Linked DNA regions of Mytilus edulis. The protein of the gene in region 2 purifies or fractionates together with the protein of the main gene of each other region. This does not show direct contact. Links are inferred from orthologs where the notes say so. Each region holds a gene or a part of one and is shown on either strand. Other genes may lie near its edges.

The links.
Region 1: the proteins of eukaryotic translation initiation factor 3 subunit H-A-like (region 2) and eukaryotic translation initiation factor 4B-like purify together in Homo sapiens (affinity purification with mass spectrometry; 3 studies listed by BioGRID and IntAct, with this or other methods). This does not show direct contact. The link is inferred for Mytilus edulis from reciprocal best matches to the Homo sapiens genes EIF3H and EIF4B.

What each region holds. Positions count from the first base shown.
Region 1 is NC_092345.1:41,815,304-41,819,062, forward strand, and holds the start of eukaryotic translation initiation factor 4B-like, read left to right. Parts: upstream 1-861; 5' UTR 862-875; coding exon 876-888; intron 889-3,759. Other genes in the region: leucine zipper transcription factor-like protein 1, read right to left, coding at 625-627. UniProt on the Homo sapiens protein: Required for the binding of mRNA to ribosomes. Functions in close association with EIF4-F and EIF4-A. Binds near the 5'-terminal cap of mRNA in presence of EIF-4F and ATP.
Region 2 is NC_092353.1:8,920,386-8,924,144, reverse strand, and holds the start of eukaryotic translation initiation factor 3 subunit H-A-like, read left to right. Parts: upstream 1-1,392; 5' UTR 1,393-1,467; coding exon 1,468-1,524; intron 1,525-3,208; coding exon 3,209-3,365; intron 3,366-3,759.

The DNA.
Region 1 (3,759 bases), on a different chromosome or scaffold from region 2:
TATCCGACGGCTTGGTCAAAATGTCAACTTGTTCTCGCATTTTAATCAGTCATTCTCGATTCTTTCGATACACTCGGGATTTTACCACGTTTACGTACGTACATATAGTAAACAGGTAAAAGTAGAGCGGGGAAATGTTCATTCATGAAATATTCATGAATGAATGAAAACGTAATCTCGCGTAGATTTCTTGTGATTTTCTCTATAGCGCATGGCAGATCCGCGAAGTAGTGTTTGTAATACTCATTTTTAAAATGAAGTTAAATTCATCTGAATCGTCGGTGAATATTCATTTCTTTTTATTCAAGCTGTTATCTTTTCAGTCAATACAGTAGTTACTCAAAATTTTAAAAGAATCTTCCAAGAATCATAACTCAAACACTAGTACTACACTATCTCGGAGCAGAATATATTGCGATAATCTGTCAACCGGAAGTTTGAGGCCGACGGCTAAGGAAAGTAGCAATAGCAAGCTATAGCAAACTTTCCAAAAATTGACTGTATGACATGACCGTGACAAGACAAATTGAGCATTTAAAATGCACAGGCCTACGTCACTGTAACTTAAAGTTTATTTTTCCTCGAGTGCTAGTTTTAACTCAATATACACCGTCTTGTAATTACCATGTTTTCTGCAAAAAAAGATCGGACAGCAAGTTGTGGATTGTGGACGGATGCGACGAATGTGAAACTCCGCATCAAACGGAAGTTCGTATTAATAAAGAAAAAAGTCAATGTTATTCATCTTTTATGCATAAAACTATCAATAAATATTTTATCACAAAATTATTAAGATAAACTATCTGTCATTATAATTTATAACAAGTTTTAATTTGATCGAAATGAAAAATAAGGTTTTATTTATTCACTGCAAAATGGCGGCACAGGGTAAAGAAACATGTGCCGAGAAAAGAAAAACATTCAGACCCCTTTTTAAAGCCATAATGTCACAAACATTTCACAAATCATCCTTAAATTATCCCGTTATGCGGTGTATTTCATTAAATTTCACCGATCTTGCTCTGAAACACTGTCTGACAGTACCATGTGGTTATGAACGTTGGACGTGTCCTTTCGTTTTTTGTTGACATGTCAAACAAGATCTGCAGTCACTATAAGACTAGCATGGTTGTTTTATTGATTAATAGCCAGAAACACATTTATTTAATCTCCACTTAGACAATATGATCCAAGCACAGGGGTTTGTTACAATTGTCGGGTTTACTACCCATACGAACCCCTAAAAATGGGGTTCATACGAACCCCTAAAAATGGGGTTCGTATGGATAATTTGTAAACATTGTAATTGTAACAAACCCCTGTGATCCAAGTGTACATGGACAGTTTTGGGAAATCCCTTTAAGGGGACGATCACAGGAGATTGAAAGACTTGGCGATAAAGGTGTATAATTCTGCCAAACTCGAAAGAAGCTCTACTGTGATAGTCAAGTTAGGCACAATTATACACCTTCATTGCTAAGAATTCAATTCATGTGGTACGATCCCCATGCATTATTTGGTAGGTCTGGGTTCTATAGTTCTGCATTCCTTCCCAGAACACATTAACACCCTGTATGTTTGCTCCTTGGGTCTGTTCGCACTGTTTTTTTTTTATTAATATACCAGTTGATTTATTTTACGTCTTAATTTAACTTTACATCATTAAAATGTTATTTCGTATTGGCTCCTTAGATATAGATTTTGAGCATAAAAGTAATATATTTATATTTTCATAAATAAAATTAGATATTCATCTTCGCTAACCAAGGGTTACGATCCACTCCCGTTCTCTTCACCCTTGGCAGATTGAGCCAACATTTGTTGAATCCATGTTGCGCCATCTATCGGAAGATTAAAGTCACGCCCATTCCGAATACATTATTCTTGACCAATGGTAGCACTTGAACTCTTCATTTAGGAGGTAAAAACACGGTAGCGTCTAGATTCTACCCACTTGGTACAGCCGTAAAATATACGTCAACATTCATGCATTTGTGCATGAAACATACACAGGAACTTCTATTAGTTGATTAAAAACATTCAAGTTGTCACTAAATATAGTCGTATGCTTAGTGATGTAAAGGCTTGTTGCACAATAAACACGTGGCAATTGTTTACGATCACTTTCTACATTTACACGTGATCATGTTACAGGCGCTTATGATTGGATGCAGCGAGTTTCTACTGCAACCAATAAAAATCCTTACCTTGTGTCTCCGAAATATTATCTCAATCCGCCAAGGGTGAAGAGAACGGGAGTGGATCGTAACCCTTGGCTAGCGAAGATGTAGATATTAGGCAGCAACCATTTGATTTTCTGGAGGGGGGGGGGGGGCAGTGATCTGGAAGGATTTTTTCTCTATGGGCCCAGGGCCCCTCAAAATTAAATTCAAGGGGCCATTTTAAAAAATAATGGGCCATGTTGTCAAATGAATGGGCCATTTGAATTGACTACAGTGAAAAAAAATTAAAAAGTGTATATCTCGGCAAAGAGATGGTGGTACTTACCTTTATGATTCTAAATAATATCATGGATATTGTGCCTGTGATTTTGTTATTTCAATTTCAAAGAATGTAAAATAACTTCTTCCAAACCAGACAATATTTAAGATAACCTTTATTTACAATGTTCCTACTGGTACTGTTGTCTTGTTCATGTTCATGGTTTTATTTACATTAAATTTGGGTCTTCGTCGATACCATCCTTATTCCCGACGTTCCGTATTAAAGGACGTTTCTGGCATTTCCTCTGCACTTCTTGTATTATTATAACTTCATCACGATGACAACAATAACAGTAGAGAGTATCATAAATTGATAAAACAAAACAACAATTCGCTGAAGGCATGTTTACAAAATGTCAAGACAAGCCAAAGACCAAAAAGTGACAAGGACAGTTAGTCGCCTTTTATGGAGACAAAAACTATATTCATATAAAGGCTTTGGGGTTTTTTAGAAAAAAAAATTGTTTGTTTCCCCCTCAGATGCCACTATATGTAATGCTAAAATTAGAATAAAAAAATTGTTTTCGACTTGTCGTGAAAAAAATAGATTAGGCGGAGAAAAAAAAGTTTGTCCAGAAAAAAAATCCATAGCTCCCCCTGAAAATCTAATGGTTGCTGCCTTAGAAAAATCTCTCTTCAGATGTACAACATGTACAATGTATTTCTAAAAATGTTTAAATGAATGTCACTCAATTATTAGCTCACCTTGCCCAAAGGGCCAAGTGAGCTTTTCCCATCACTTGGCGTCCAACGTCGTGATCCGTGGTCGTCGTCCGTCGTCGTTAACTTTTACAAAAATCTTCTCCTCTGAAACTACTGGGCCAAATTTAACCAAACTTGGCCACAATCATCATTGGGGTATCTAGTTTGAAAAATGTGTGGCGTGACCCTGCCAACCAACCAAGATGGCTGCCATGGCTAAAAATAGAACATAGGGGTAAAATGCAGTTTTTGGCTTATAACTCAAAAACCAAGGCCACCCTTAAAAAATTGTTTGTTTGGCATTGCCGACCCACACTATCAGCAGGTGGGTAGGTAGGTAGGGATTTTTTTTTTTTTTTACATTTAAAAGCTTTATACATGTAAATCATGAAGTCTCTAGACCAATGTTGTCTAAAGCATTGCAGCATTGTTGTGTGTACATGCTGGTGTATTCTTTGAAAGGGGTCAACCGTCAATGTCACATTCTATATCATATGGATAATTTCATGCAAGAAAGTCAGTTTTATTGGCAGAGTAAATCAAAGTACCCAGA
Region 2 (3,759 bases):
TGAATTGCGACCATTTAAGCATTTGTGACATGTACACTTAAATATAAATAATATGTCTTATTTGTTTTATTGAGAAAAAAACGTCAGTGAAGCTATGTCCGATCCGGTTCGTGAAATTTGAAATTTTCAGTTGTTACACATTGTTTTTAAATTCAAGAACGGTGTAATTTTGTTTGGAATTCTTTAATTTAATTTTTTTCAATAATGAAATAATAGATAGAAATTATTATTTTCAAAAATATATATATAAGGCATATAGCAAAAATGACTTAGGAAGTCAAGAAGATATACAAATAAATCGACTTGGTCGATATCCTAATAAAACTTTTGACCTTTAATTAAGAGGTTTTTTTTCCATTTCATTGCGTTTTTACACGCCCGTCAAAATTTTGACAGGACGTATTATTTTGTATACATCCGTCCGTCCATCTGTTCTTCCTTCCTTCCATCCGTCCGTTCCTCCATCTATCAGTCATTCTGTCCGTCCGTCCGTCCGTCTATCTTTCCGTCCAGCGTAAACATGTCGCACCGTAACTTGAGAACAGCTTATCTAGTTTTCATGAAACTTAACAAAGTTATTTCTTGAAATGGTCAAACGAACTATAAACCTTTTAGTAAAAATCAAATGAAATCTTATTGAGTTACAGAACTTTGTAAGTAAAACAGGAGTGTGGTTTTTTTTAACATGTCGCGCCATATCTCAAAACGATTTATCATTATTGCATCAAACTTTACACACTTCTTAGTAATATAAATCTTAACTTCTGCATCTTCCCGTATCTTTCTTTCCGTACAATGTGAACAATTTAACGAAAAATTAAACAATTTTGAGGCAAGGTTCACTCAATTCGTTATTTTGACATGCATTTTTACTTATTTCTTCGTTAATATAGAACGGTTGTAGAAAATATTGCATATCACAATAGAAAATAGTTGTATATGTATATATATTCTTCGATATCATTAAAAAATAAGAAAATAAGGAGAAACCTATCTTTCTTCTGTCTATTGATGTTCCGTCATTGTGCCGGATGTTAGATACCATCGAGTCCGATCAAATTTTGCCGGTGTGGTTTAGACACAGTGACTTAGTACACTACAATACAATGACTTAGTGTAGTGATACGTAGTAAGTACGGAACGGATGTGAGCTCTGCGCCGGAGATTGCTAGCCCAGCAGTATATTATCCCCTCAAACATGTTTTGTACAAGATCGACAGAATGAAAAAAAAACGAATTATAATTGTTCTTTTTTTTTATTTTATCGACATTTTTTTCTTTTCCAAGAAATATTGTACAACAATACATTTAAATTATTCGGTTCTATAATGGTTAACGCCACAATTTTGACACTAGTACTCAAAGGACGAAATATTATTTGGGGCGAGTTTGTGTATAGGAATAAATAAAATATGTTTTGAGATTGTCCAGAAAGCGTTTCATTAACCCGGACTCTCCTTTTCCAAGATGGCTTCCAGAAAACACACGAGTTCTCCTGTACAATATGTTCAAATTGATGGTCTTGTACGTGTTCTAATTAATAGATTTCAATAATTAGTGTATGCTCATTAAATATAACTATTTAGCTTTTCAATAAAGCTTTGAATAGGTACCTTCTAATCTGGCGACGCAATTACATTAGTCTCACATCGTTTGTAGTGCCACAGGAAATTCATGATAAATTTCTGTCAATAAATATGATAAAAGTCTGTAAATAATAAAGTCGACTATTAGAAACGCTTCTCCTCTGTTTTTTTTTCATAGACTGCTATGTATGTTACAAATCAAAATAAGCCAGGCTTCCCAGAGTGTGACATTCTATTTTGTAGCCAGTACAAATACATTTTATATTTCTGTAAATTCTGACAATGTACTTATATTGATACACCTGGCACTTAAGTGTTAGTTGTTTAAATCCAATTGGTTGCCTCTGATTATTCAAAGAAATCAACATAGTTGAAAGAGTGTATGAGCACAGGAGTTTGAAATCCTATCAATAAGGGGGTCAAAATATACCAAAGTCGACTACCACAGTAGAGCTTCTCTCTCTCTTCGAGAGAAGCTCTACTGTGATAGTCGACTTTGGTATATTTTGACCCCCTTATTGATAGGATTTCAAACTCCTGTGGTATGAGTGGCCTCCTGTCTGTTTGAGATGTGCCCCATTCAATTACACTTTATTACATAGTTAGACTCGTAACGGGTAGAAGAAGAATGCCTTTACCATCAAGCATCAAATGGTTAATATTCAAAACATTCTACTTTTAATCTCATCAAGTTTGACAGAAGTTTGACATCTTGAACTATTTCGACCATCCAATGTTGATTTCCGGTTACTAGGATCTTCTATCTTCCTTTATGACTAACTATGATATCTAATTATAACCTAATTTGCTATTCATATGCAAGAAGGTAGAAGAATCATGTTACCGGAAATCAGTGTTGATTGGTCGAAATAGTTCAATATGTCAAACAGATTCTGCCAAACTTGATTAGATTAAAAGTAGAATGTATTAAATGTTGAAAAAAGTGGATTATCTTGACATATAAAGGTTGTTGATTCTAAAAAGGCACATGAAAATGTTGAAAAAAATGTTTATCTACCAGTGTGTATTGGTACGGATATCTGACAAATTTATACAAAATAAGCGAAAAATTAGTGCAAACAAATTGTCCACGATCTCCTGTTTTGGATTGGAACTGCTTTCTGTCTCTATACATGTATATTGCACACAAAAAAAAATAGAAAATAGCAAAATCAATAAAAAGCGAATGTAAATTAGTAAATATATGCATTATAGGGACAGAAGAATTTGGTCTAGAAGAATGCACAAGAATTTGAATGACTTTTCTGATCTGATGACTGAGTTCTTTATTACGAAGTTGATATATCCTTTTGTTTCCTGCACAGATTTATAACATTCATTGGGATGTATGTGTGAGATGGACCAACTGAGAATACATTCATATATTTTACTTTGTTGCATTTTAGGGTGTATTGAAGATAGTTAAGCATTGTCAAGAACACGTTCACATACATATATTTTACTATTTTACATTTTAGGGTGTATTGAAGATAGTTAAGCATTGTCAAGAACACGTTCACATACATATATTTTACTATTTTACATTTTAGGGTGTATTGAAGATAGTTAAGCATTGTCAAGAACACGTTCACATACATATATTTTACTATGTTACATTGTAGGTTGTATTGAAGATAGTTAAACATTGTCAAGAGGAAGCAGCTGGTGGAACAGATTTGGTCCAGGGTGTCTTGTTAGGTCTAGTCGTCGACAACAAGTTGGAAATCACAAATTGCTTTCCTTTCCCCAGGCATAATGATGAAGAAGAATTTAATGAAGGTAAGTAAAGATATTTTCTGTAGTTTACCTCATAGTTCCAGTGAAAGGAGTTGTTATTATGAAGTGTCTGTGGTTGTATGTGTCTATAATTTGTATCTCTATTGTAAATGTTTGAATAAAGCTGAAGTTGAGGCCACACCAAATTAATTAATAGTTCTTTGAGATTTTACCCAAAAAAAAATGGGGCGAGCGAGCGAAATTTAAATTTATATTTTTAAATTCTTCGCCTCAAATTTTAAAGAAATATGGAGCGAGTGATATTTTTTTTCTCTCAATTTTTATATCTTTTACCTAAAAGAAGCAACTGAATTTTCTACTCACTTAATTGAAAGGGGACATAATTTGATATAATTAAATTATCTCCCTTTTTATATGTATTTCAACTTTCTGCATT